Linked DNA regions of Lepisosteus oculatus. The protein of the gene in region 1 purifies or fractionates together with the protein of each later gene. This does not show direct contact. Links are inferred from orthologs where the notes say so. Each region holds a gene or a part of one and is shown in the gene's direction. Other genes may lie near its edges.

Region 1 (7,700 bases):
TCTCGTCAGCTTGCCTGCCAACAGCACGGCCCTCTCAGAATCCTGTTTCTCTGTCCCTGTTGACCACAATCCTGTTCACATCTTGGCCACAGCCAGTTCTTCCCCCGACTCTGTCGAGCGATGCTTTCCCCACGGCCTGTATCCTTTCTGTATCCGCTGTGACTGCTGCCTCTCCTGCTCACATGCCAGAGGAGATCTGCACCTGGGTTCCGCCTTCATCCAGAAACACAAAGCGGGCGCAGAACTGGGAGCAAGGCGGCACCACAGCACGCGATCATCTCCGACGGCCAGCAGAACGAAAACACGAGGTTTAGAACGGGACCCAACGCCATCAAGCAGGGCGAGCGGATGATTCAGCCCGTGTTTGTGTTTCCATCTGTTTTTATTTGTCCTCTCCGCAGCTTGTAAGGTGGCAGCTGTTGAACAACTGGCTCCGGGGATCAAAACAGAGTTACATTAACACACACAGGGTTGAAGTGCAAATGCTGTTACCTGAGAAGGCCAAAAGAGTGAGGACAAGCCTAGGACTAAGGGATTGACTCTAACACTTCCTCGCACTCCTCTCTACTCAGTATCTCTCCCACCCAGAGCTGGGCAGGGCCTTGGCATTTGCAGGAGCTGGCTGCTGCAGTCTACACGTGAGAGCGCTGCCTTTTTATGCCTTCGACAAAAGCCTCACGTGTGCACTGAGTCTGATCAGAAAGCCGATTAGACAGCGTGGTACTGAAAGAGTTGACCTTCCCACGACAGCATTCTGGGAACGTGCTAGGAAACCGGAGTGGATGTATTTGCAGACAATGGACACCTCTTCTCTCCTCGCAATCAGGGAAACCTGAGGGCTCCAATCTGATAACTGAAAGGCCAGCCTCTGTCCATTATCATCTCCCCTGATTTAGTCTTCACACGGATTCTAGGGCTGTATCACGCATCTCGTATTATTTTTTTAGCTGATGCACTTATCCAAGATGATGTGCATACCAGACAATTGCTGGACTAAAAAACCCAACATACAGAATAAAGAGAAAGGCAATAACGAAGCACAATACAGAGGGTAAAGCCACAAAAGGTGCAGAAGTGAAAGAAATGCAGGGATGAATTGTAGACTCTTAAAGGTGAAACATGGGCAGGTGGGGCATGAAGAGGCACAGCAAGCTAGGAGAGAGGACAAGGACCTGCTGTGCAGCTGGCACCATTGGCGAGTACTGTACACACCCAGGGGTCTGGATTCTGCAAGAGGACAATCAAACTCCTGCATCACCCAGAGTTTAGCAATTCATTTTTGGCTCACAAAACCCCCTTTCTGCTGTGTAGAAACCGACACACTGCTGTGCCCTCACCTGATCCAGCCATGGTGCCTGTGAGCACAGAGGCTCAGGTTGAAGGCAGGCGAGCTGAGCTGAGCAACTGCAGCTGTCTTAATGAGAACCGCAGTGCAGGTCAGGAACACGCTGGAGGCCAATCTGGATGGCTGATGTTTTTTTTTTCCCTATTCCTGTCCCTCTCATCTATCTTTAAGGCACACTCTCTTTCTCTCGGCACGATGTAAACAGTGTGTATTTAAAGAATCTATTTCTGTTACCTGTGCTCTAATCAAGACCCACATGAATCCCATCTTCTGCAAGCTCTGCCCATTGTCTCCAGCACTGGCAGATGTGCTTGACATGTTTGGAGCCAACGTACTGTGGCCTTTTGATATTCAAATCTGCACACACAAGATATCCCCCTGTGCTGAACAGACATGTGTATCTATTGATCCTCCCAAACTGGGAATGAATAGACCATTTAGGAGGTTAAATAAGCAAATGATCCAAAGAGTCTTGAGAAGCACAAAAACATCCGGTCTGAATCTGGCAGACGCTGCCTCCTACGCACTGCACACTGTGCCAGGAGGATTGGAGGGGGTGAAGCTCAAATAGTCTGTTAATAGCTTCCATTCTTTATTTTTATTTATTTGAACATGTTATAGTTAATGAATAGCCAGAATGGTCCCAGCCCATGTGTATTATATCTACTGATAACGGGTGCCTGCATTCTTAAAAATAATCAAAGGTGTTTACAAAATAAACTTTGCTTTCCTTACCAATCATATGAAAGTAAAGTAATAGTAACATATACAGCAGTAAATGCAAGAACGTTGTGGAAAAGTCTTGCAGTGCACTATTAACTTTGTATTGTTCCTGTGTAATATTTTTCCTATCAAACATTGTTTGGACTGTAATAATATATTTGAATACTTAAAAATTGATCGCCTAAAATTAAGTAATCAATTAATTATTATTTAACTATTAGTTAATAATTATTTGATATTGCCACACAACAATATTTGGTGGAGTTTGCTTTTGGTACAGCAAGAGAACACGATTACGCTGACAAACAACATACAATATTAACAAATACACGTTGAAATTCAGAGACAAGCAAAACACAATCACATCATACGTAAACAGGTAGCAAAGTGAATTGTAAAAGAGATGTTCACAGGTGGCTAAATAGCTGAGGGGAAAGAGTCAAGGACTGTATAGCAGTGGGCCGGGAGCTAAGGTTGAAGCAGGCTCCCTATCCTTTCTGACAGTGCATGACGCTTTCAGATAGGCATATTTCCATAAACCCCTTTATTTTGACACCCCTTGTTGTAAAGCCCTCGATATCTCAGCAGAATCCTGAGACTTGAGTGATTTTAATGGACAGTACAGTCATCAGTGCAGAGTACATAGAGATGAAGCTAATTCATAGATGGGGATGGTCAAGGTCATGAATGATCAAGGCCTGGACACCAGAGTTACACCCCTACTCTTTTTGAGAAATACTGTGACCACAGAAGGTCAGGGTCATCTGAGCGATGGCACCTTTTTAAAAATAGAGTCCCCATTACTATACTGGGGCATTTGGATCCAAATGACTACAGGGTGAGCGCCCCCTGCTGGCCCCACTAACACCTCTTCCAGCAGCAGCCTTAGTTTTTCACAGGAGGTCTCCCACCCAGGTACTGACCAGGCTCACACCTGCGGAGCTTCAGTGAGCTGCAAATGGTGAACTGAAGGGTGATATAGCTAAATTGAATGGAGTGATATAACTAGGTGACCAATGTGGCCTTGAATTACAAAAAAAATACCGTAGTAAAAAAAACTACTGGATGTAACCCCTTTCGGCGATTATCTGCGACCGGGTGAAAGGACTTGCCAAAACGTTCTTAAACTTTAACGTTTCCAGGCACTCAGTGTCTTCGGAGAACTTGGGACACAGAGCCGTGACCCGCCTGCCACCGCCCTCTAGTGGTCAGAGTGTTCCAATACCATAAGTAACGCAAATCCCTTCTGTTCTTTTTAAATTGTTTTTTTTTCTTCTCATATATCATTGGATGTCACAAATACAATGTGTTAGATACGTTCCTGTAAGGCCCTCGGTCTGTATTTGCTACCTTTTATAGAAATATTTATTTTCATTCACCTCGATAATCAACAGTTTTCACACAGCACACAGCAACACACGGATTCGGTAGTTTTTTTTTAATTAGGGACTTTGTTTTTGAATTGAAAGGCTAATTCGCGTCCCGAATAATACACTTCCTTCCCTCTGCCACGACGGGCGATTTAACTACAGTACCGTTAATGATAACTTTTATAATCATATATATATACATGAATTGAGAGAAAATAGATCCTGTCGCTTAGGCAGACAGGATATCGCTTCCCCAACGGAGCTCTGAGGAAATGGAAGAATTTTCCGGGACAGGAGAAGATTGTCGTTATGCTCAAGCTAAGTAATTTGCGACCGATTAGAGGAAGTGTTGTCCTGAAAATACTCTTCCAAACAACCCAAGGTACGAGGAAAATCGGTGTCACTTTCATGTGACTCAGTTTTATTGTACTTCAGTGACTAATGTCCTTTTGGCATTCCCATTGTAATCCAATTAATAGCTTACCCAAAACTACGTGCTTCGTAATGGTTTTTCCTCCCAATAAACTCCGGTGGTCGTTGTTTTTCAAGTAACTGCCACATAGCAGCCCGACGACACACAGATTTTTAAGTGTGCCGATTAAAATGGGATAAAATATACCAGGAACTGGGAGGTGCAGGACTTTTTAAAAATAAATTTCGAGTTAGTGTTTACAGCGCACTGTAAAGGGTAAAAAAATAAATGGCATTTAATTGATTAAAATTCATTTTTAACACTCCACAGCGGAATACGGATACAGGAAAATGCTTAATGGTACAGTATTTGTGTGGTGGGCGTGGGGATGGAATTCACTTCTCGATCATTTTGATCCTCATAGAAGAACGATTACATATAAAGAATAACTCTTTATATCAACAATTACCCATTACTAGATACCTGGTTACAGAAGCTGTATAAGACAAGCCTGAAAATAAAATAAAAACATTAGACCAGAGTCACTAGAATATACTTACAGTCCTGTCAGATTTCAAACCAGTACTGGTGAGTTCTGCAAACCAGTATTTCCATACTCAAAAACAACAACAACAAGACTGCGTCTGGCGTTTCTGTGTAACCAGGGAGAAAGCAGCGTGCCCTCCTGCTGTTGTGTGTCTCGTCCGGGGGGGCTGTCAATAAAGCTGGTTCAAAAGCTCAGGGGGCATTTAAACTTGGGCGCTCCCATGCTGCCCTGCGGCGGGCAGGCTGGATTTCAAATCCTGCGGACCAATCACGGGCGGCGCCGTCGCTTTTAACGAACGGAGCTGGATTTGAAATGCTGTCGAGTCCACAAGGGCTGTATTGCCAGAGAAGGACACAGAGGGGGCTGGTAGAGACGGGCGTTGGAGGGGGGTTAGGACTGGCTGACAAACAAAATACACAGCGCTTTTTGCACACTTTTTTTTATTAACATTAAAGCGTCTCCGTATGAGTCTACATCGAGCCGATTGTCTTCTGCGGGGAAAAGTTTTGATTTGAATTTCTATGCGGCTCGGAGAAAGGGTAGTAGCTGTAAGACTTGGCCTGTGTCCGTTGGTTTGTAGTTTTGGATCTGCCTTTTTTTTAAAAAAAAATCGATATAAGTACAAGTCTCGGTAGGTTCTGTAAAGAGGGCTGAGGTTACATTAATATATTCAAACGCTTAACTTTCGAAATGAGCGCCGCCGCCGTAGCAGCGAAGGCGATGAAGCCGTCAGTGCAGGTTGACCCCAAGTCGGCCCCGCTAAAGGAGGTCCCCGATATTTTGGTGGACACCCGGACCAAGAAGAGGTACCTCCGGGGCCGGTTTCTGGGGAAGGGGGGGTTCGCGAAGTGCTACGAGATCACAGATATGGACACCAAGGAGGTCTTCGCTGGGAAGGTCGTCCCCAAGTCCATGTTACTGAAGCCGCATCAGAAAGAGAAAATGTCCATGGAAATCACGATCCACAAGAGCCTGAATAATGCCCACGTCGTCGGGTTTCACGGCTTTTTCGAGGACGAGGACTTCGTGTACGTGGTCCTGGAGATCTGCCGGAGACGGGTGAGTACTGTAACTGTCAGGTCGGGCCGAGCCCGGGCGGAGGAGAGGACAATCCGGCATTTCTGTAACCGAAAGGATGGGGTGGCGAGTTGTTAACCGACTGATGAAGCTGATGATAGTGGCGAGTTGTTCACCTGCTGTTTTAATAAGTTACATTTTTAGAGGAAAATGCTCGGTGTCCCATTTTGGTAACTTTCTAAAAAAACGGTTACCCGGAGATGAGTGGTTTTTAAGTGTGTGTGTGTGGGCGGCGGGGCGCACCCCCTCAGTACTGCAACCCCATTTTTTCTGCGAATGGAACCCGATTGCGCGTACGCCAGCCTTTTTTTTCCCCTCGGGTCGGGTGTTGCGCAGCCTCCCCCGGCCGTGCGCTTGCCTGGACTCGCATTGCCATGACGCTCCGAGCGCCTCCTGCAGTTCCTGTTCCTATGGAGTGTGGCTCCTGCCCGAGCTATTCCAGCGTGTCAAAGGGAACACCCCTCCCCTTCCCCCCAACAGACTCTAAATGTGCACCTTTTGGCTACCCTTGTATCCAAACTGTTTGGGAATGAGTGCAGTGATTACTTTCCCCCGCTGCGTAAAGATCAAATTTTTTTTTGGAGGCGTCTTACAACTTAATAGGAACAAGTAATAGGTTTATTCCGTGCTGAAAAGAGCAGAGAGGAAATGCAGCGTTTCGGGTGTGGAGCCTTCCTCACAGCTGAAGAAGGCTCCACAGCCGAAACGTTGTTTCCTTTCTTCTCTTTTCAGCACGGAATAAACCTATCACTTGTTCCTTTGCAGCCTATGCATGCTGATGCAGCTACCTAGCTGAACTACTTACAACTTGATAGGGTTGATTTGCTTTTGTACTTAAGTATTTCATCCCGTAATCTCCCCCATTTCTCCTGTTCAAGTTGTAAAACTTCCCTTCTGACACGTTTTTGCAGAGTCTGTACTTCTAACCTAATTGCATTTCTTTCACTGAGGTCTTTGAACATCTTTTTTTTCCCCACCCCTCCAGTCTCTGCTGGAGTTGCACAAGAGGAGGAAGGCGGTGACTGAGCCGGAGGCCCGGTATTATATGAGGCAGACTATTGTGGGGTGCCAGTACCTCCACAACAACAGAGTGATCCACAGAGATCTCAAGCTGGGGAACCTGTTTCTGAACGACGAGATGGAGGTCAAGATAGGTAATGCAGCTGGGCCTGCTCAGAAAACTGTTCTTCTGCCTGCAGAGACGAGCCAGGGGTTCTGTTTCGTAAAGATCTGGACTCGTGTCCAGGCACCAGTGAGGGGTGGGCAGTGATGTGGACTGGGGGTCTCCAGTCTAGAGGTAGGGGGTTTTTGGGGGATCCCTTTGGGTTTTGGAGCTGCGATGTTAGAAAATTGTCAGCTGACATTCATTTCGTGAAAAGGAATAATTCCTCAGACTTGTATAGCGCTTTTCTGGACAATCCACTTTACAGGTAATGGGAACTCCCCTCCACCTCCACCTCCACCAGTGTGCAGCCCCACCTGGATGATGTAACAGCAGCCATAGTGCGCCAGTATGCTCACCACACACCAGCTATTAGTGGGGAGGAGAACAGAGTAATGAAGCCAGTTCATAGAGGGGAATTAATTAGGAGGCCATGATTAATGAGGGCTAATGGGAAATTTGTCCAGGACGCCGGGGTTACACCCCTACTCTTTTTGAGAAACACCCTGGGATTTTTAATGACCACAGAGAGTCAGGACCTCGGTTTTACGTCTCATCCGAAGGACGGCGCCTGTTTACAGTATAGTGTCCCCGTCACTACACTGGGGCATTAGGACCCACACAGACCACTAACTGGCCCCACTAACGCCTCTTCCAGCAGCAACCTTAGTTGCTGATAGTTGAAATCCCGAGCCAAGAAACTGGCAAACCCTCGAAAACGTACTTTCCTTCCTGTTGCATCCGAGATGAACTGCTCACGTGCGCAGACTGGTCAAATGACATCAGTGCCTCTATGTGTTCCTCATGCTCTAGGCGTCAGCTCTGCATCCTGGCTCCCTGAGTCCATGCCTGCCTGTTTTTTTTTGCCCCCCTGCAGGCGATTTTGGCCTGGCCACGAAGATCGAGTACGATGGCGAGCGAAAGAAGACTCTGTGCGGCACGCCGAACTACATCGCCCCCGAGGTGCTGTGCAAGAAGGGCCACAGCTTTGAGGTGGACATCTGGTCACTGGGCTGCATCCTGTAAGCACTGGAGTTGGGGGGGCGGGGGTAGTTATTGAGCGT
Region 2 (7,702 bases), on another chromosome or scaffold:
GACGAAGCTTACATTTATATTGAATGTAATAAATATCTCTCATTTTGGAAATGGCAGAGATACAATATGTGCAAAATGGTTTGTGTTCTAAAGAAGCAACACATTTTCCAGCAGAGTGATACCTTCATGCAAATGTTACATAAGCTACTCACTACTGTATATATAAGTAATTACTTATCTGTTTCTATATTTTAGCAAAATGGTAGATTAATGGAAAGGGAAAATAAGTACTGAACCAAATATTTTGTTGAGAGCTGAAAATACATTTTATAACAAAGCCTAAATCTGGCAACACATACTGAAGCATTGGTTTAATATTTTACATTTCTTTGAAAGAAAATGCCATCAGAGAAGCAATTTATTTATATTCTACTTTACTTTAATACTTCTGCTTTGATGGATGCACAGAGTGATAATATATTGCTTTTACAATACTGGATTGATTTAGGCCATGAATACTGCTTTATCTTTATGTCATTTTGTGAATCAGTTTAACTTTTTTGTTATTGCTATGAATTATTGAACATCTGCAAACACTTTGTGCAGCTGAATATAAAGATTAGCTATTGCCAATTTTCCTCTGCATTTATTTTATCTGTATGAATCGATTTTTGGGTATTTTATTTTTTCAAACCATCTAATGCACACAGTTTAATTAAGGTATTTATAATATAGGGATGACTAAAAAGGCTTTTTACTTTTGGATTCTTCATAACATCGTGATAAAAATAGCAAAACGTTCCTCATTGTGTCAGTATTGAAAGAATCGTGCTTTCAAAGTACAGTAATTTAAGTTTAAGGTAGGATTTTTAGAGGCAGTAGCACCACCTAGTGTTTTTCTTAAGTCCACAGCAGGCAGGTGATTCGTTAGCGGTGATCAGAACGAATTTCTGTTGTGCTGTTGAAGAATGAAAAGAAACTTCACTATCGATTTAATTATAAAAACACATGACAAATGGTGCAATTTATGGAGAGTTCCTACTTAATAAAGGAAATAATAATAATAGGTTAGATTATTCTTTTCAACCATGCATCAAACTGTGCCAGTATTTTTCCCCACTGAAACTAATAATCAAAGTATATGGAATACTGAGTATTTGGTTACTGAAAGAGTAAAAGCTTCGGTTTAAACAGCTTGTGTTCAGAGATGTATTTATCTCCGCCCAGCTGACAAACTGAACATTGATATTGATACATATTGAATATATAGATCAAAACACACTTTCAATTTTTTAAACGTCTACCATTAAACAATTTTGAATGGTTGAAAAAATGTTTTTTTATTTACAGTAGCTTATGTGTCACACATGAAATCTGCTAAAATTCGGATGTCAAACTTATTTAACAGTGAACAGCAAACTGTTAACACAAACAAATGTCTACTATGATTTTGTTTCTGAAACATTCGCCTTCGGGGTGGGGGTGACAAGCATCACCCTGAGTCATCTTTCCTGTTTCAGGTATTGCTCATCTCAGAGCTATTGAGCCTCATAAATAAGTAATCTCTGGTAAAACAGCGAAAATGTGATTTGTAACAGCTACTTTTTTACTTCTGACTTAGCACTTAATAATATTTCTCAGAGTTTTCCCACTGTGATAAAACCAAAACTTTAAAGGACATAATAACTGGAATAAGTTAATTGTGTTGTAAACAGAACTAAAACGGTCTGTTTTGTGCACATTACAGCACAAAACAACACTACACTGTATCACTGTAATGTATAGTCAACTTGTAGTCCTTGAATTGAGCTATATTGTATTTTTGATTGAATGGTACATTTAATTAATACTTGGGTGTGTTATTAAAAATTACAAAAAAAAAACCGGACATAATTTATTTTGTAATTTCTTTATTTTTTAATGATCTTTAGTGTACCTCTGGTGGAAGGGAATGGTAGATTTCCTATACATCTTATACAGTAGCCTATTCAGTAAAACGCTAAAAGAACTCGTTTAGCAGAACTGAACGGAAAACGTCGGGTTAAGAAGTTAAATCTGCGCGTAAACACTGATTGTTTTCCTATCAGGATGACAATAGGGACTCTGTAAATTTATGAATATGTTTTTCTTTTTGGGATTTTATTTTAATGTAAACAGGAACAATCTATATATTGTATGTATAACCATGTCGCTTACAAGTCAGTAAAATATGAACGTCAGTCTAGCCGCGTTGTCGCTGCGCTCCGCAAGGATACAGTATATCAATCCATTATATGGACTTTTTTAGCGTTTATAAACCTTAGATATATCGGTCTGTATAATAATAATCTTTCCTTTCATGTAACTGTCCTAAGTGTAAGAAATAAGGACAAAGAGATGCTTTTGCCATTAAAACTGACTGGATACGTTTCATAATATTGTTAGAACTTAAGGCCATCTCGAAAAACAATAGGTAGAAAGGGAGCTGTTTACCTAGCTGTGAGAGACAGAGGATAAAAGAAAACCTTATACTCTGGTTAATCGAAACTGAAGAAAAACATTTAAAACACAGATACATATCACAAGACACAGTAGAGAGACAGGTCAGAGAAAGGGGATGAAGAGACAGAGGGAGACAGGGAACTAACAGAAAGAAGAGAGATGTTCTGTTCTTGGATTTGGTGATTATGCATTTTAGAATAGGTACTGTACAGTAGATTCTTTTACCTTTGGACATACAGGATTATAGGAATGGATATTTAGCACTGGGTTATATTATGTCAATTTAGTTCAAGTTGGTAGTTGTGTCAGCATGCGTAGGTTGCAAAGGAACAATTAAAGGTTTATTCCATGCTGAAAAGAGAAGAAAAGGAACACAACGTTTTGGCTTTGCAGCTTCGGGTCTTCGGGTGTGTCAATTTATGTCAATTTAAGACGTCAAATGTTTCTCCCGTTCACATGTTTAGGCATTATATACAGTATATGATTTCAGGGTACAGGGTTAGTGTTCCGGGTTTCTGGGTCTGTAGAATTTAGGCCTTGTTTTGTAAATGGTGTAACATTTATGTTGCATGTTGTGTAATGTGTTGTGTTGTTTAATTGTCGTTGTTATTATTAATAACTTCATTTTAAGTCTCTTCGCTTTGAACTAGGAAATGTTTTTGATGTCGTAATTGACATTTTCTATTGGACCATGTGGTAATATGGTACGCTCATCTGCAAAAGCTCTTGCAAATGGGCTTTTCAAGTTAAAATTTGAGACTTTGAGCCTTTTGTGGGACAATGTATTTTTTTAGATTAACCTCACCACTAAGCAGTTTAAGAAGAAATTTCTGAAGAAATAGACATAATATTATGAAAAAGACACAACAGGTTTCTTATGAAGGACGACAGACAGGGATTCAGAGTTTCAAAGTGAATTTCTCCTTCGCAGTCCTTGATACTGCTGCAGTATTTACTTGGTTGTCGAAAGATTTAAACAGATGCAGTTTAAACAGCAGCCTGAGTCAGTATTTGGCTTTCAATGTGATATACATATTTTGTAAAGAAAACCGCAAATGAGATACGGAATTGCATACAGAAGTAAAGTCAGCATGGACACAAGAAAATAAAAAAACATGTCGATACAACATGAAATTCTTTTGGAATTGTACAAAAGAACTAGTGAGTAATACAAAAGATAAGGCGTTTTAACAGTATTGAGTGATTTAAAAAAATACTCGTTAAACTCCATTCATCAGTTTTATTATTTCTTTCTATGTTGGATTTGGTAATAATGGTAGCTATAGCATGCTAGTTTGTAACGCTTTTGGATGTGTAATAAAAATGTAATGGACATTCTGGCTGTGAATTTTTTTATTTTAAATTGGACAAATATTATCTACACGTTTGTGTACAAACACAATCTGAAACTTTTTGTGTCTTTGTTTTAATTAAGCTCAGAAACATTGGTTGGATAGACAGCGGAACAAACTGAATAATCAAACCAAGGTTGTAAAATACTTTTAAAAGTAAAGAAAAAAATGTTTTACCTAGGGCGCCAGCTGCTGGCCGTTTTTTCTAGGGCCGCAGACCATGACACTTCTGATCTCTGTATTCTTTCGGAATTATTGCAGTTATCTCTTGATTAATTATTAACAGTACAAAGTAAAAATGTTTCATACGTTTAAATGTTTTGTGGTGTTCATTGTACATTACAGCCGATTTTATTAAAAAGTGTTAATTGCTTTCCCCGATACTCAGTTTTCTACTATTGCTACGGAACGTCTTCGCTTTGCCTATTTTGCAGCAGTACTACAATACCCAGAGTGCACAGCGAGTTGAGACGCGCATGCTCTGTCCTCTTGACGTCAAAAGTCCTCGCGTGGTGTCGCCTAAGCGGTGACGCGAGGAACGTGGTGGCCATAATAAACCTGGCGCACACGGGAACTGATATCAGTGAGATCACAAAACGTAGTGAGAAAAACGTAACATATACAAACTACTGACTCCCAAGATTTCACGCGCAAACGCTTCTTTCCGGAGTTGGCTGCAGAGGATACCCACGGAGGTTTGTGTGTGTGTGGGGGGGGAGGCCGAGAGGGACTGTGAGGTAAGTCCTGCAGATATGGAAGTGAGCCTGTGTCTGTCAGAGACCAGTGTGCAGTCAGGCTCTCGTTCATGCTTACAACCACCAAAGGGTACATGGGTCACAATACAGTAGAGAAGATGTTGGCGTTGCTTTCGTTGTTTAACTAAAAAGCGGTGAAACAAGGGCACTGTTAGGAGAGAATTCATCATTCACCGCGAAGACACACATGTGAAGAACCCCCTTGCATAAAGGGTTGGACTCAAGTCTTTACAAAATACTGGCTCTGTACAAAATTCGGCATAAAGCCGTTTTAGCAGTGCGGGAACCTGGTTTTCGCCGCTTTCTTCGGCGTTTTGTAATCTCAGGAGTTGCGTCAGCTGTTCGTTTACTCTGGAAGCTTGTTCACCAGCTACCCCAAATGAACCTGACCGCGGCCGGTCAGCGCGCTGTCCTGAAAGCTGGTTGGCACCTTCCTGTAGGCTATACACCGTAACCCTAACGTGTGCAGTGGTATTCAATTCAACACGTGGTTTCCTGTCCACCACTGTTCACTTTGTGTACAAGCGGCCCACCAGCTCTGTGCACAGCGGCGCTGGTGTGAGTGCATGGAGCCGATCGAGTCCACTGTACTGGTGTGATATAGCGCTGTCAGTGCTGTACCGAGGTAGTCGTGCTGGGTCGATGTCATACGGTATGTTACTAACTTGGCCTCTGCCAAGAAAGAATTAACTGTTGCTTCGCCACCGCCGCTGTCGTTGGTGTCTGCTGATCTGTTGCTCCGTAAAGCTATGTTGTAATGGTGTTAAGGCACAAAACAAAACGGAGGAAAACGTGCCAGCGTTTTGGCGTGCCGAGATCGTTTGATGATGAAGGGGAAACCATTCGTTTTGTGAGAAATAACCTCGTTAGAACAAAAACGCTCAATACATAAAACACTTTTCATTCTACACGTAAATCGATAGCAAAACTCGGTCTTGTGGATTTTTTATATGTAATATTATATACGAGCTTGCGATAATAGTTAATAATACATAATTGACAGTTTGTCAGTAACTCCACAATACATGTTTGAAAGTTTTGCATAATTGATGTCCCTAATCCGTTTTTTTTAAAGCATAGCAAAGCAATTTTCTGGGAATTTCCTAGAAATGTAAATGTAATTGAAAAATAACTTAACTTTTTTAAAAGTGTTTTTAACTGTACAGCTTTTATAGAGGCATAAAGCGATTTGAGTTTTTTTGTAATACTTTTGTAACATCATAATGTGCTTTCATCATAACCCCCATGGGATAGAAAAGCTTTTATTTCAGTAACATTGAATATCAAATCATTCTTTGCACCCATGCAGACTGAAAATGAGTAAATGTCTTTTGTTATTGTGCCTAATTAGTATCTCAATAAAGCAGGCCTAAATATTTAACTCTTTTAATCATTTGAAAATGTTTATAAATATTTGCAATATTAGCAATAAATACAAAAGCTGAAAAAGTATGCTTTTCAGAAATGGCAAAAGAGTCAGTTAGAGATATCAAAAGTCTGTTAAAAAAAACAGCTTTTCTACGTTTACTACTTTACTACATTTGGTCCAAAACAACTGAATATTGCCTTGTACTGTGAAATTAGAGTGGCACAGTGGTTAGCTTTGCATCCTTACAGTGCTGGGGGTCTGGGTTCAATTCCAGACCTGGGGTGCTATATGTGTGACGTTTGTATGCCCTCCTCATGTTTGTGTGGGTAACCTCTGGGTACTCCTGTTTCCTCCCAGTCCGAAAAACATACTGGTAGTTTGATTGGCCCGGGTGTGAGTGCGCTCATGTTTGTGTTTGTGTGCCTTGCCCTGCGCTAGACTGGCGTCCTATCCAGGGTGTATCCTGCCTTGCACTTGTAGCTTGCTGGCACAGACTCGGGCTCCCCTGCTACTCTGAAATGGAAGAAGCAGATAGAAGATGGATGGATGGATTTTGAAATTGCCAAAACATAACAAACAATTTACTGAGTGGCAAACTGCTTTGTGTATGCATCATTTGCAGTGTTCAACTAGAAACTCATTAGAATATTATTACCTGCAAGATCCGCAGTAATTTCGTTTTGATTTGGGCACTTGCTTATGGTCCTTCTCAAACATTTGTGTCTTCACTGGTTTGAAGACACTGTCGGCAGACTCCAAGAGGCTGGTTGAATGTTAATAGTTATATTTTGTGCAGATGTCCAGATGGTGATCAGAATGAGGAAATGATTTGTGGCTGTTTACTTCAGGCAGGGAGAGTAGACAGCTTGGAACCTCTTCATATGATGAGTTATTCAGTCTAAAGTTGAATTGGGGTTGAGACTGTAACTGCTTCATATATAAAGGAAGTTGCAACTGATCAAAATTAATGAACTGTGACCAACACCTGAATTTAATGAGTTGGTACATCCAGTATCAGAAATATACTGTATATATTTAGAAAAGCATGTTTACTTGAGGTCCACTAAGTTATGCTTTTTTCCATGTGCTTGCTTAAGCGTAATAAAAACAGAAGCAACTGGTGTGTGTGATTTAGCGCCTTAAAGATTTCCATGGTAACAGAATTGCATTTCTTATGGAAAGACAAACTCCTGAATCCATTATAAGCCATATCATAGGCTTTTGGGGTTATGTAAAGTGTAAATTGAGCTTAGGCGTGTTTTATTGTAAATTCCATCTGTAAAATTTTGTTACTTCAGGTAGAAGGGAGGAGATTGTTAGGCAATAGTTTAAATGTTTAACAGTAGTCAGTCCTGACACTGTCTTAAGTAGAAACTGTTTAGAAAAGCCAAATAAATACTTTTTTTTGTTTATTATCTATCTATATAATAAACAAATAATGAACAAAGAATACAAACTGAGCTCAAATGGATTCATTAATCTTCAGTGGACAATTTGGCAGTGGAGAATTTAATGTGACTACTTGAAAGGTCTAATGAGACAAACTTCAAGTTTATTACTGTATATCCATTCATCTCCTACTAGATTCTTAACTTTGAACTGTACCCTGTTGCAATTAGAAGTGGACATTAATTAACTTGTTCCGTACTCCCATAACCCATTGCGTAAAGAAGTGCCTCCTGTTCTCTATTTTAAACGCGCTTATATGTAGTTTACACTTGTGCGTTCTAGTTTGTGCTTCAGTGTTCATTCTTCAAGCAGTCTGTTGGGTTGACTTTGTCGGTGCCTTTGAGGATTTTGAATTA
Region 3 (7,733 bases), on another chromosome or scaffold:
AGTGCCCCTGCTGGCATTTACACTGGCTGCCCCTCCCTAGACAGAGGGTAGCTCTGCCACTCCAAAAGACCAGGTCCTCCTGTCATGGTAGAGTTCTACACTGTCTAGATTTCAGAGGGGGTGACATCAGTTCTGTAACTCTGTTCCTTGATCCCCATTTCATATAGCCTCTAACCGTCCACAGTTCCTCAGAAAAATCTCTTCAAAATAAAAGCAACCCTATGACCCTTTGATTTCTGAGTAACCAGAGAGCATAAGTAATGGGATTCCATAAAATGAGAAAATGGGGGATGCCAGGGTTTCACATTAAGAGATATTATGTGGGCAGAAACCCACCTGCACTTTATTGCTAGGAGTATTGAGACTTATTTTGCTTTTAGTCAAACCATCCTCTGTCGTCAGTGAGAAAGCTGGGCTTTCCAGCATACAAAACAAGAAACAGAAAGACAACAAGCACATGTCCTCCAGGGGGCTGCTGTGCCCGTAGCTTTTTATTCCAGATTGACAGTTAATATCACATTTGGACTAATAAAGAAGGAGTTTAATTGATCTTCCCAACTCGTGCAGATTTAAAGAACCCTACAAACCTTCTTGACTGTGGTCTCCAGGACAGAGGAGTTATTATCTACCCAAAAGGATGCATTAGAAGACTCTTATTTTCTTTTCAGTAGACACCCATATCACAAACAACAGGACAAAGGCATCAGGAAGACTAAGGCAACACTCATGGTTGTCCAGTTGGTTACTTGGGTTTCTGATGTGTAAGGTAGCTAGCTGGACAGGTTTGAGCACACTGTTACTTGAGCAAACCCTTAGTTTGTTCATTCACAGTTGGAGAGAAGAAGAGTCCAAACTGAGTACTTCAGCTGTGTGAAGATGCAGTTCAATCCAGCACATAAAGAGCTTTGATATCCTTTGGGATGATTCTGTCTCAGTGATAACAGGAATGCAGTGACATTCACGTTTTAATGACAACTCAGTGAAATTGCTAAAACATTCACTAAGGAAAATGCACTGCATAGCTATTTTTTTCTGAGAATTAAACACAGATGTGTCTAAATTACCACGGTTATGAAAAACAAAGAAGCCATACATTCAGTTCATTATCCTGTATTGCCAAAATGATGAAAGTTCTGTAAGCAGTGTTAATACTACCCCCTACTGCAACAGAGGGTACTATCCCAGATGAAATATTACAAAGATAAAACAGCCCTACTGCACAAAAAGTGCAGTTTTAAAACCCATTTGCATTCATATGAATTCTTATTCACTTACAAAAATTGATACACTACAATGCACTACTAGTTTTTGTCTTTGTCTTGTTATAAATAATGTATGGTTAGTAACCAAGTGAAATCTCTTTAGGAGCTATACATTTCATATAAACTTTGTAGATACTCATAAAAATAAGAGACTTTTAGCTAAGCACCAACAGAAAGAATTGATCATGTTTATGCAAAAAGATATGTCTGGGATATCTGTGTTACTGTTTCCTAGTAATGTTTTCTTCATTCTGTCCAGTGTCTAATTTACCTTAGCTGTTTGTGGACTGGGAAACGCGTGTGAGAAAGAAGGACAATTAAAGGCAGTGTTAAGGGTCCAAGGGCAGTGCTGGCTGTGCCAATCAGCTGACTTGAATCTGACAGAAATGATTATGGTAAATCTGAAATACTCTGTGCTCGTGAATAAATCCATCAATCCGACTGGACTCAAGAATGCTCACATCAAAGAATGAGGACAGGTCTCTCAGGACAGAAGCTTCCACTTTATAACAGATGCCAGATGCCATATAATGGATGCCAGTGCACACAGTTTACTAACTTACTGTGGGATTGTTCCATTTTTTCGTGTTATCACATGTCTTTTTAAACCTGCTCTCTTATTGACCGATTTCAGCTTTTCCCACCTCCCTCCAGAGCCCTCTTCCTGTGGTTACTCATTCTCACCTGTGTGCCGGTTCTCACCTGCTCTGTCCTGTGTTCTCCTGTGCTTTGTATTTCGGCCCTCACACCTGAAAGAGGCTCTACATTTTAAACATTGTGTTTCTTCTTTCTACTTTTCAGTGTGTAATTAACCCTTAGTTGTACTTTTATCTTTGACTGCATACACACAGATATTTAAGGCCCATGTTTGTGTATTCATTTTCTAGATTAAAATTAAGGTTAATAGATTATATTGTAGTTATAGTTATAGACAGTTAATGAGCTAAACACTGTAGAAGCCAGAATACAAAACAACAACCAACGAAACACATAAAACAGGGCATACAAGATGTGAGCTAAAAGGATTGGATTTGGCGATATGAATAGCTCCTTTAATCCACATAATTCTGTAACAGATACACAAATTTGGGAGACAAATCCAATCTGTCATTAGGTTTGTATGTTTAGACGTGACAGAAGTGGTCATGTTCAGTATATGTGTGGGTTCAGCCAGGCCCCAGATTTGACTCTCCTCCAAACTGAATCAAAGGGGATGTATGATGTAAATTGTATATTTTTCAGAAACTAAAAGCCACAGAGTGATCTTTGGATGTTTTTTTAAATATACGAGAGTTCAACACTTCCACATCTACCTTCAGCATAATTGTCTGTCACTTCACAAGATACTGCTGTGTTTGTGTCTCCTCAGTAGTGTGTCTGGTGCTGTGCTGCAGATATATTATCACTGTATCAAACTTTCTCAACATGATAGGATCAAGTTTGTTGAGAAATTATAAATGTATCTTTAATGAGACAAATTGAAGAGCATCCATTGTTTAATTTATGTGCGAGGGAATGGTATAAGATAATTAGTGGCTGCAAGATAATTGCACATACTGTATGCTATTTTTAAACGAATGTTTTCTGTTCTTAATTTATTGGCTTCTTTCTCTCCACTACAGAGCCTGAAGTAAGTCTTGCTCCATGAGACTTCAATTGTGATATTTGTAAATCAATGTAAAATGCAAAATAAATTTGAGAAAAACTAAAAATGTAAAATTAGAAAACCAAAGCAAAACTAAAGTGAAGCAGACTATGCAAAGAAAAAAAATATATAAATTATATTACGACCACAATGGTACACTATTTGTAGAGATACAGAAAGTTAAATACTTAATTAGTTTAAATGAAAGTGTTTGAGGCTGTTATCTAAGGATGATTTAAAAAGATCCAGAAGACCTGCTCCCCTGTAAGAAAGGTTCTGGAAGCTGTCACTGTAAACAGACACACTGCTAAGGCCAGGGTAAACAGAACTACTATCTTACCCATTCTATACATACATCACAGCAGCGGGAGATATTCTCTTTTATTTTCTTCATTCGAAGCACTAATTCAGTCTCACAGAATTAACAGACAATTGACTGAGTTAAAGAACAAGAAGAGTTTTAAAATGTGGGCATTCCAAGGTTTCAATAAAGAAACAGAGCTCAGGGATAATTGAATGTCTACAGAGCAGACATCATCTGTTCACCATATCCAGCCATGAATAGATGTTGTAATTGAAAGAAATGATAATCATATTAGGCTGTCTTGGACCAAAACCTCACAATGATGATAAACAGAGCACTGTTCCAAGGGAACACTGTTTGCAGTTCATAGATTAGGGTAGGAACAGATGTCTTGTGAATTGAGGATACATGTGCAAATTTGAAGAGTGATCTTGTCATTGCATATTTGCATTTAGCATTGAGATGCTCTTGCTTCTTGTGGCAGAAGCAAACCCTTCTGGGTTGACTTTGTCAGTGCTTTTGAATGTTTTTTAAACTTGAATCGGGACCCCTCATAGTCTTCTCTGTTCAAAACTTAAATCGCTCAGTGCCTTCAGCTTGTCAGTTTTGATGACAATAAGGATGTGATGAGAAAGGACTGAAGGTGAGAAAGAAGCTGTATTGTTACAATTATTATTAAAATCCATTATAAACTGTTCTTTTTATATTTTTAACCATAGAAAAAACAGGTATTCACTAAGGATGCACAAAGAACACAAATAAACTAAAATATTATTGTGTTTCCAGAGGGAAATATACTTTGCCTCCTGCAAGCACACTGTGAAACCTCCAAGACATTATTTCACCTTCAAACGATAGTACACCACAGCGTGGGTGATGTAAACCTAACATAGATTGTACAGTATCTTCTGCACGTTTGAACAAACTTCCCTCTCTCCAAAAGCATTTCCCACAGAACAGAAACCAAATGCCAAGTGTAGTTCCCATAACAACAAAATACAGTACATCTGGCAGGATAGCTGTGTTATTTCATAAGGGAGTAGGCTAATTAGATACTTGAGCAAAACACTGTTAGACTTGCAAATGAATGAAGCTGCTCTGACTGACTACCTTCAGCTTTTCGTAACGCTTCAAAGCCTTGACTCATTCAGAAACAAAAATAATAAATAAAACTCTTGTTGCACCACTTCTTTGGAAACAAACTTTGGAGTGTGTGTGTGTGTGTCACAGCGTTGCCCGGGGGCGAGGCGGCTGAGCGGCCAGACCCGTGGACAGCAGTACACCAACACCGCCTGACTGAGCCGCCGCTTTTGCAAAAAAGTCGGCTGTGACGAGGGCAGGGGTGACGTCACCCTTTCAACCCAGGGAAACAATCAGAGCGCCCGAGCACTTTCGCAGGCCACTGAATGGGCTGAGCGGACTTAATACATGCGAGAGCGCTTGTCGGTGCTCCCCGAGCTCAGAGGAAAAAAAAGATTGTTTCATTATTATTTTTAAGCCTCTCTTTCTCCTCTTCTTTTATTTTACTCGGGTGAAACTTGGGAACTGTTCAACAGGTTGGCTAATAACGCCTCTCAACTTTTTATGTGGTAAGTCTTCAAAACATTTGGCGAAGTTAAAACATTTTTGAGCGCAGAGCTCGCTGGCTTGACGAATGAGAGACCAGAGGCTGTAGAGGAATGAATAGGGGTTTTGTTTTCGCGGAGCCGGACAGTGCTGGACAGACGGTCATAGAAAAACATAACCTTCACCCCCTTTTAAAAAAGTACATGTGTTTTATTGTCCGGATGGCTCTGTTAAAGTGAAAAGATTGCCAAGTAAAAAATATAAAGGGAGAGTGTACTAAAGCCGTAGAGAGCCTTTTTGTCATGTAATTTGGAGGAAATATGCTGACTACGAAGAGACGTCGCTGCAGATGTGTTTCTATCACAAAAGAAAATTAATTGAAGCAAGGTGAAATTTGAATCTAGATAAGATTTATTGTGGTTAAAACATTTTAGCACGTGTAGGAAAAATATAGAGAGAGAGACCGTCATGCTGGTTACTTTAGACTAACAAAACGAAGAAACTAGCAAATGAACATTTTACGTTTGTTCATCTTTATTAAAAGAGCATAACGGTAATGCCGGTCTTCAATGGGGGCGCATGTGTTGAACAGTATCACTTGTTTGGTCTGCTATGACCGCTTGGGAGAGCACATTACGCCCAGAATGTGTTTTTTCTTTTAAGAGGAGGAGCACTCAAATTGACGATTGTACTTCATTCACACAGGCTTTGTTGACTTCTGTGAAACTGCATGTACAAAAATGAAGAGCCTTAAAGCAAAGTTCAGGAAGAGTGATGTAAGTACAGTTTTTTGTTTCCCGCTGCATGGTTTTGTGCTCACTGTATCTGGCAGAGTTGTCTGTGTTGAGGAACGAGGCGGATGGAAACTGGCCTTGACTCCTGCAAGTTGGAGCCAGGGAAAATGTAATTCTCTGTGATTTCTATTCTGCATGCCAGCACCAGCCACAGCAGTGTAATACAGAACATCTTAATTTCAAGGCTTATGTTTAATAGCATCGCTTGACCCTGTAGATCATGGTGTTAGAAACATCCTGAATTGCCCTGCCTTTTTGAATGTTATGCGTTATGTTTATTGCATAAATGATTTGTTTGGTTCACCATTGGTAAGAAATGCATCTGGATGTCGGTTCAGATTATATCTCGTAAGGGGGAATGTTGAACTTGGCCTGACCACAGTGCACCACATGGTTGAGACTCAAAAGCAGGTAGGTGAAAAGTGAAGTCCTTTCGGATTGAGCTGCAGTACCCAAGTCTGTAGGTTTTGTGATTTCTATAAATTCAACTGAAGCAAGACAACACTGTTGGAATCTTTTTTTTTTCTTTTTTGGTTGCATGGTCCTTCCTGGTATTGATTGTTTTAGAGAAAAAAAAAACAGATAAGCTTCAGGAGGGGCACCAATGGACCGGGGATTAAGTGTTCAAACATATTGCATCCTTCAAATGCAAGGACCTGCTTTTATGGACACGGAGATATTTAGCTTCAAGGAGTGTGGTGGCAAAATGGGTCCTCCTTCTTGGACAATAACGTTGAAAAAGAGCTGACCAGCCTAATGATGACCAAATTTGAGCTAGTTGTTCATCTAAGTGGTTGGGGTAGAGACAGGGAGGTTTTTTGTTTCCTGGTTTAAGCTAGGATGGAATCACAACTTTGACCCTTTTAACATCTGCAAATTACAAACCCTGTTCTAAAGGTAGCCTCCCATTGGGTAGGGTCAAGTAGAAAGTCCATGAACAGGATTTGCGATTTTACAGTTCACTGGGGAGTCAATTATTTAATTGAATCCCTGCGTGAGCTATTTAAGTCCTAAAAAAACATTGTTTCACTGCAAATAAACTGGAGGATTCCATTTACAGTATGAGTGGGACACTGCTTCTAAATCTACAGTATGTCTGTTTATGTACTAACACAAAAGGCACAACTTGTTTGGACAAGTGCTTTTCATCCTAACAAAGGATCCTAACACACTTTTGCAATCCTAATCCAGTTCATCCATTCATCAGTGCTTCTGCAGAACTTTTCCAGTCTTTACCTCCACTGGTCTTGGTATTGATGCGCTCTACCAAGCTACAATAATGTTTTAATATACTAGTCATAAAATGGCACTGGGACATTCAAAGGATAAATCCAAGTTAGTCTGTTGTTTTTTAAAGGATGACTTGCTGGGTGGTAAAGTATGAACATTCTGTGTTTAGACACTCCCTGGCTTGATCCTTGCACTTTTGTACTACAGGCATTATGCTTTTTTCACCATAGGTCCTTGGGTCATTGTGAGTCGCGGAGTCTTTAATTCTTCTGAGTGTGTGCAAAACTATGGAAGGGGGACTCCTCCCATCAGGGAACTGAGTTTGTTGTGGACCACACAGAAATGTATTAAAGCAAGGGACGGCCTCTTAGGTTTTATTCTGCATTTTCAAAAATAAGATGTGTTCACTGAGTAAAAGTGGGTCCTTTTGTATTTCTGTCCATTGGCAATATCACTAATTGGAGCCAGAACAAGCATTCCAATGAAAACACCTCTTTTAATACAACTGCTTCCACTTGCCCATTCTGCTTTTTCTCCCTTCAGTTATTTTGAGTTCTGTGGTTTCCCTGCACATTCTTTAGATCCTTTTTTAATGTGATTTCAGCAAGTATTTGTAAGCTAGTCTTTATGTTTGGCAGTGATGTAAACTGTTGTTGAATAGAGTTTGAAAACCCATAGTGTTTCCTGGACCTCTGGCAAATTTAGCACAGAAAACAATAGCCGTCCAAGCGCAGAGTTTCATCCTACATGCATGTAGCAGTAGTAAAGCTGAGGCATTTCTCAAGAATGTGAGGTGATACAATCAAACTACTGTACATCTCTGTCGATCCAAGAAATCTGTGTAAAGCACCTTTCCAGGTCTGCATTAGAAGACGCATTCCATAGTTAACCAAGATTTTTGAAAACTGAGGAGACGTCTTAATGTTTCTTGT
Region 4 (7,171 bases), on another chromosome or scaffold:
GTGACATTATCAATGTTATCCAGAAAACAGCTGACGGTGGGTAGATCCGAAATTCTTCTTCTTACGTGGCTCTCATGTCATGTGCTGTGGGGATATTTTATTTTTTTTAAATACGTCATGTCTGTACACATTTGTTATTTTCAAACGCTAGGGTTTTGTTTGGAATTAAAGGTCTGTACAAACCTTCAAGAGAAGCGTCTTTCCGTCTCCTTAGTCATCCGTAATAAAAACCCGAAACGTGTTTCTTCTTTTAATCTGGAATATTCCTTATTGACGCATTACGGCTTCCCGGAAAACGTCTATGCACTCTGAATCTGGTCCTCTAGCCTGGTGGGACTACAAACATGTCATGTCAAAAAACATTAGACTGCAGAATCGAAGTGCACTCTGGCTGGAGTTCACCTCCCAAAGATCCAAGTCTAAATTGTGTGCATTAAAGAAATTGGGCCAATTTCACAAGAGGCACGTGGCTTTGAATGGAAAAAGAACAACCTTTTGACTTTCACCACAAATAAACGTGTTTTTTTTATAAAACCGATAATTTATGTATATAAAATGTGGTAAACAGTATGCACAACTTGCATAAAATAATCCCTTGATTGGAAAACTGGGAGCCTTGTAATCCATTGAGTGCGATATAGGCTAGATGAGCTGAATGACCTCCTCCTGTTCATAAGGGCACAGTGTGCTCAGGAGGGGCAATTAGAAAGTAGTCTTCTTGCTCGCTGCAGCATTCAGGGAGTAGGCGTAAGCCAGTTATTCCCTTGGCAATAGCTTTGCTGGATAGTCTAGTCAAGATGAAACTTCAGTGAATCTTGTAAACTGAAATGCTTGAAATTCTCCAGCTCCTGAAATGTCAGATCACTTTTTTTGGCCATATTCAATTTCTTGTATTGGGAATTTGTCTATTCACATACCCCAGCCTGCTCTCCATGAGACACACAGACAGGGAGTGAAGCTTGGGGTCAGAGTTCAGGGTCAGCCATTTATACGGCACCCCTGGAGAAGCTGGGCTTAAGGGCCTCGCTCAGGGGCCCAATGAACCGGCGACCTTCCAGCCACAGGGGCAGATCCTTAGCCACAGAGCCACCACGTTGCCCGAACTTTCTGTGTGACCTGAGGGCTGCGGTTTATCCTAGGCGTCAGGGTTGATCTGCTCTCCCCCTCCCTCAGGCTTCCTGGAGGGCCGGCGGTTGGTGGACGGGGAGCGGGGCTGGTTCCCCGCCAGCTTCGTGAAGGAGATCACCAACGAGCACGTGCAGAGGAGGCACCTGCGCCAGCGGTACCGCGTTCTCCAGACGGCCAACAGGCTGCTGAACCGGCGCACCTCGTCCCGTGAGCGCCGGGTCTCCAGCTGCTTCCGATAGGGGCGGGAGAGACCTGACCCCTCGTGGGCACAGCAAGACCCGGCACCGGCCTATCTGAGGTGGAGCGGATCGGGCTGGGAAGTGTGTGCAGCAGCTGCCTGGATTGATTTTTACACCTGATAAACCTCATAGCAGCATGTTGTTGAGCCCAAGGGCAGGGAGGGTCCCTTTTAAAGAACACCTCCTCTGTAGTGGGTTATAGTGACAATGAAAAACAAGCCAACCCCAAATCACCCTCCTGGCAAGTTGCTTTCCTGCCATAAAGAGGGATTATCCATTCATCATCAAATGTGCCCTTGGCTCTTCTAAGACATTGGAGTAAATAGTATTTTATTATGTAGACCCTCTACGAAGGCCTCACTGACAAATATAAAGACACAAGTAAAGGTTTATTCCATGCTGAAAAGAGAAGAAGAACACAACGTTACGGCTGTGGAGACGTCTTTGAGTGTCACACCCCAAGAAGGCTCCACAGCAGAAACGTTGTATTTCTTTTCATCTCTTTTCAGCATGGAATAAACCTTTACTTGTTCCTTTGCAGCCTACGCATGCTGATGCAGCTACCTACTTGAAATATAAAGACATTCATCTGAATGTGTTCAGTTAATTTAAGGACAGCATGTTATTCTGTAGTGAATTAAAAATGTCAGTGATTTTTGAGGTTTACCATAAATGATGAAAATCTAGCCATGGCTGTTGTGGAACTCTATTTTACACATCTACAGTAGGCACTAAAAATTAAAATTGTATAACTGCTTTTTCTTCTAAGGGGCCACAAACATACTGCAATGAATACTGCCATTGAATAAAACCAAGTTCTAAAATCATATAAAGAACTGCTTCATCTGTGGTCACACTTGTTTTATAGTGCAGTTATATGGTGGTTACAGTGTGCTGTTTACACTACAATTAAACAACCTTTTAATAGAATTAAGCAGTTTGATGTTCATGGAGATCAGGCTAAAGTGCAACCGTGAAATCCCTTAAAACAGCCATCAGATTGGATATGCTGCAAAATCAATTTCATATCCCAGCCTAACCATTTTTTGGGGATAATACCATTTAATTGTATTTGTACATGTAGAGATACAAACAAAATATATAGCCATTCAATTATTTATTAATATTTTAAATGAATATGGACTTCGTTTTAGAAAAGGCAGCTGTTTCTTTAAAAGTCCTTTTGCTTTTTTGGAGTCCTAATCCAGTGGAATAATGTTGCCCCATTTACAAGGGAAGGTTCTGCCCATTTTGCTAATTTCATATCTAGTAGCTTGTAGCAGATTGATCTAAGAATGCCTTCAAATCAATTCTTAAAGTATCCAGATCGTACCCTCTGTGTTCAGTTGCCTCTGGCGGTCTGAATGCTCCGAAATCTCTTGTTGTTTTGGTCAGTGCAGTTCAGGCTTTTGAATACCTGATAGAATCCTCAAATCAGCATCTGTGTTTTATGCTGAATAGATGCAGTCTCTGGGAGTGTAACATTCTTGTCATATCTCTTCCTTCGGATGAGACTTAAAACCGAGGTCCTGACTCTCTGTGGTCATTAAAAATCCCAGGGTGTTTCTTGAAAAGAGTAGGGGTGTACCCCGGCGTCCTGGCCAAATTTCCCATCAGCCTTTATCAATCATGGCCTCCTAACAATCCCCCTCTATAAATTGGCTTAATTACTCTGCTCTCCTCCCCACTGATAGCTGATGTGTGGTGAGCGTTCTGGCGCACTGCGGCTGCCGTCGCATCATCCAGGTGGATGCTGCACATTGGTGGTGGTAGAGGGGAGTCCCCATTACCTGTAAAGCGCTTGGAGTGGAGTGTCCAGAAAAGCGCTATATAAATGTAAGCAATTATTATTATTATTATATCAATCATATGTGTCCACAAGAGACTGAGCACCCTTAAGACTTTGTGTTGACCCTAAAGCTCAAGTGTCTTGTGTTGGAGAAGCCTCGGCTTCCAATCAGACTGACCCCACCCCAGCCCCCCCACTTGTGCTGTGCGCCTGGTGGAGAGTCGCCAGGTCATCCCTCTGGCCATACACAAGGCTCCCCAGGTTGCCCTGGGTACCTGAGAATCAGATCAACAGCCTCGCTAGGCTTTTGTAATCCCACAATTCCCTGATACTTACTCCATCCACTTCCCTTCTTGTACAGTAATATTTTGAGTGTTGTGCAAAGCTCATTTAGTTTTGTCTCATATTCCTGTTAATTTCATTCTTTGGATTGATTCTAAGTATTCCCTTACCCCTACACCTATATATACACACCCATCTCATTTTTCGTTTTCAGGTTTTTATATATCTATAATGTATGTGCATTCCCTCAAGAATAGTTTGGAAAGATGCTTTCTAAGATTAAAATCGATAGCTAATCATGTAATTTACTAAACCTTTGCTTGATACAACATATTGTGCTATTTTAATGAACACAGTTTAACTTACTATTAAGAATGCAAAATAAAGAATGGAGTGGAGTTGAAAGTGCTTTTTGGTTATGAAAGCCGCAATACATTAAAACATTTTTAATGGTCAAGCATTGAATTGCAATAACACTCTTCTGGTAATATATAGAAAGAATCAAAGTTTTTTACTGATATTAAAGAAAGTAAAATAATAAGTAATCGATTCATCTCGTCACGCAATGTATTCTACCCATGAATTTCTGGGAACGAGTTGTCGTTCTTGTAACGCATATAAAATAGTCGATTATTGTGTCATCACTTATCGAACCAATACCAGTCAAGCAAATCAATACCAGCGCTCCCTTCAGCCAATTGTTCTGGAAAGTGGATTCAGCTGTACTTGCCCAATCGCGGAGCTCCTGCAGGTAACATCTTTGTCCTATCGCAAGTGGAACAATGCTGAGGCGGGTTATCCAATGGGAATCGGGGAGGGTTTTGGTTCTGGCCAATCAGAGCGCAGCAGTGCTCGCCGTGTGTTAGCGATGGCCGTCTGAGCGTCTCGCGCTGGGATTTTTAGGAATAAAGCGACAGAAATTCAGGTACGTCATTAATTTCTTCCAGTACCTTTTTTTAAGTCCTTACATTTCAACAGTAATTTTTATTTCATGAAAAAAACATTATGGCTCGGAAAATGTAATCAGGGGTTTCCCACCAAGTTTGTAAATTCCAGAGTGTTGGAGCGCTTTTGCAAGAGAAAAAATCTGCAGTTTACTTTTTGAACGTACTTAAATTCGTAGTTTTTCCGAGTTAGTTGCCTGTTTGCTCATATATTTGAGGTTTTAGAAAAAAGATTTCACCTCGCACTTCTATTTGCATCGGGTACGATCGGAAGCAATCGTATATCTCAGTCGTGCGCCAGTGTTGAGCGTAAAGTTGAAGAAAGTTGATCAAATGAAATGCATGTGTTAGATGAGATTTAATGTTTAATCCGCCCTTTATTAAATAAAAGTTTTGCATTAAATGTTTTGTTTTACCTAAGGTAGTAATTTGATCACGACAGTAATTAATGCTTCTAGAACAAAAACATATTTTGACATCAAATCTCAGCGACATGTACATGCAAAAATGTTGGATGGACTTTAACAAACATTTAGACTTCGGGAACGTGGCCATGCGACTCTGTCATGCATTATTAACCACCGATTGCGATGTGCTGCTTAGTTCAGTTCAAACCTTATTGACACCAAACGTTTTAAGAATTTAATCTTAGTATTCTGGGGCAAGGTACAACACATTTGGAAATTCCCGTTTTAAAGGAGCTGGTTTAGTCGAGTGGATGGGCGAATACCTGTTTTTTTTTAACGCCAGTAAAGTTTACTCCAGTCGCAACCTGTTTTCAGGAATATACAGCATTTCAGCGATTGCGTGTTTTCCCAAAAGTTTATACACTTGCCTTTCTGTAATATTAAAAGATGTCGCATTTGAGTAATACTGTATATCCAAAACCAGCAGCAAGCCCTTCATCATACAACCGTGACTAGGCATAATAGGTTTTCTCCCCCATAAAGCTGCTGTTGATAGCGATAGTTGCTCGGCCGTGCCCTTTGAACTTGCTTAAATGAAAGTCTCGTTTGTTGGAAATGTGCGGCGATAATGTAACGGAGAAACGCGAGCAAGTGTGCTGTAGTTGGTTCAGCAAACGAAGTTCAGATTTCTAGGTTTTGATCGGACAACACAAAGAAAGGTGAAAGGATGGTCACCGTTCTCCGAACGACATGGGCTTTATTCCGCGGAAATGTGTGGGTAGCAATGTCGACGTGTTGTGGGAGTCGGAATTAGAAATGATTCACTGTGCCCTCTTTTGGGAACAGCACAGTGTGGAGGTATGGCCCAAACGAAGCGTGGTGTCTTGGAAACAGTCTTGAAGCAAAAATGTCAGTGGATATTGTTGTATTGTAAAATGAGACTGTCGAGGGATTATTTGGTCACGTTTCTTCTCTTCAGAAAAACAAACAGCCTGATGAGAGTTTATTTCTCCCTCACGCCGAGAAGCCGGTTGCTCTGGAGTCGTCAGGATGCGCGTTGACTGACCCCGGGAAAATGTCAACAAACCGAGTTGTCGCACGGCCTGCTACTGTAACAGAAGGGGGTGACGTCAGATAGTCAACAAGGTGGAGGGCGGCTTTATTGTCACAATCAAAATACTTGCAAGCTTTTCACTGACGGTACACAATGAGGAAGAGTTTCCTTGACCTGCATCGATAACACGGAATTATAAAAATAGCTGGATGGTTTTTACCACCACGGCACAGTTCTCGGTATCTCGACCAACTTGAGTGAAATAAGAATAGCAAAAGGTAGACATTTACACTACTGACTAAGACATTGGGTGTTCCCCAAAGGTGGTTTTTAAGTTGTGGATTATTTGACAATTCCGAGTTAACAATTAAGAAATTAAATGCAGACAATCAAAAATTATAGGCTGGAATACCAAAAAAGCTATAGGGATATATTATGGTACTGGGTTAAGGTTTTTTCAGTGTATTACAGTGGTATTTTGCTTTTTGTATCATATTGTAGTTTTCTTGTGTCTTTGGAGATGTTTCCTGATCTTTAATTTAAGATTCAATACGTGTAATGCCATGTGAAAACACCCCCTTCCTGTACTTTTACTGTGTACAGGATGACTTGGGACATGAAGCAAAAACAAAAAGAATACACCAACTTTTATACTGGTGTTTCACTTCTAGTACTGAACCTATGTGATTTATTCTTTCTTGTGGGTGTTAATGCAAAATAAGTCTTGGAAGATATCTCAAAATAACCTCTACATGGTCTTTTGAAGGGGCTTCCTGTAAATTGACTTATTTGAACTGTTCTTTTTCTCACTATTACAGTAATTCATACACATGAGTATTTAACATGTCTCTGAGTACTGCTAGGCTAGCAGTGTGTCGTACTGTCGTTAAAAGAGCCTTAGCAGTGTTTGTCTGACTTGGGCTGTCTCTCTAATAGGTGTTGTTGACATTGGCGTTGCCAGAATAGTGACATTTTGACACTTTCTCCCAGTCCTCAGAGAGAAGGCGTTTTGCTGTACAAAATAGATTTAACACTAAAAGATCCTCTGTCTAAGAAAGTTCTGTGATCTCACTCTAAAACAGTTGATTTTTAAATCATGGCTTTTTTTTCTTGACTTCAGTCAGTTGGATTTAAAATACGGGCACGTTATTTTATAAACAGTACTTAACCGCAGTCACCTCTTCTGTGGTGGCTGAGTACCAAACAAAGCATCAAAGAGAGATAAACATTGCTCTCTGTCTGTCTTTAGCAAAGTAAAGTATACAGATTCTCAATATTGATTACATGTTTGGCGGCACTTTGATTAATTGATCATTCATGACTGCCCA

Evidence for each region.
Region 2: the proteins of plk1 (region 1) and DDB1- and CUL4-associated factor 1 purify together in Homo sapiens (affinity purification with mass spectrometry; 3 studies listed by BioGRID and IntAct, with this or other methods). This does not show direct contact. The link is inferred for Lepisosteus oculatus from reciprocal best matches to the Homo sapiens genes PLK1 and DCAF1.
Region 3: the proteins of plk1 (region 1) and rai14 purify together in Homo sapiens (affinity purification with mass spectrometry; 4 studies listed by BioGRID and IntAct, counting the BioPlex papers as one, with this or other methods). This does not show direct contact. The link is inferred for Lepisosteus oculatus from reciprocal best matches to the Homo sapiens genes PLK1 and RAI14.
Region 4: the proteins of plk1 (region 1) and farp2 purify together in Homo sapiens (affinity purification with mass spectrometry; 3 studies listed by BioGRID and IntAct, with this or other methods). This does not show direct contact. The link is inferred for Lepisosteus oculatus from reciprocal best matches to the Homo sapiens genes PLK1 and FARP2.

Annotation. Positions count from the first base shown.
Region 1 is NC_090714.1:12,120,263-12,127,962, forward strand, and holds the start of plk1 (serine/threonine-protein kinase PLK1), read left to right. Parts: upstream 1-4,678; 5' UTR 4,679-5,087; coding exon 5,088-5,456; intron 5,457-6,459; coding exon 6,460-6,628; intron 6,629-7,513; coding exon 7,514-7,658; intron 7,659-7,700. UniProt on the Homo sapiens protein: Serine/threonine-protein kinase that performs several important functions throughout M phase of the cell cycle, including the regulation of centrosome maturation and spindle assembly, the removal of cohesins from chromosome arms, the inactivation of anaphase-promoting complex/cyclosome (APC/C) inhibitors, and the regulation of mitotic exit and cytokinesis.
Region 2 is NC_090699.1:58,782,949-58,790,650, reverse strand, and holds the start of DDB1- and CUL4-associated factor 1, read left to right. Parts: upstream 1-4,560; 5' UTR 4,561-5,170; coding exon 5,171-5,180; intron 5,181-7,702. UniProt on the Homo sapiens protein: Acts both as a substrate recognition component of E3 ubiquitin-protein ligase complexes and as an atypical serine/threonine-protein kinase, playing key roles in various processes such as cell cycle, telomerase regulation and histone modification.
Region 3 is NC_090698.1:16,594,388-16,602,120, reverse strand, and holds the start of rai14 (ankycorbin), read left to right. Parts: upstream 1-4,554; 5' UTR 4,555-4,800; intron 4,801-5,482; 5' UTR 5,483-5,517; coding exon 5,518-5,553; intron 5,554-7,733. UniProt on the Homo sapiens protein: Plays a role in actin regulation at the ectoplasmic specialization, a type of cell junction specific to testis. Important for establishment of sperm polarity and normal spermatid adhesion.
Region 4 is NC_090708.1:12,321,862-12,329,032, forward strand, and holds the start of farp2 (FERM, ARHGEF and pleckstrin domain-containing protein 2), read left to right. Parts: upstream 1-4,158; 5' UTR 4,159-4,189; intron 4,190-4,259; exon of another isoform or gene 4,260-4,363; intron 4,364-5,485; exon of another isoform or gene 5,486-5,508; intron 5,509-6,015; exon of another isoform or gene 6,016-6,121; intron 6,122-7,171. Other genes in the region: ephexin-1, read left to right, coding at 1-36, 1,174-1,367. UniProt on the Homo sapiens protein: Functions as a guanine nucleotide exchange factor that activates RAC1. May have relatively low activity. Plays a role in the response to class 3 semaphorins and remodeling of the actin cytoskeleton.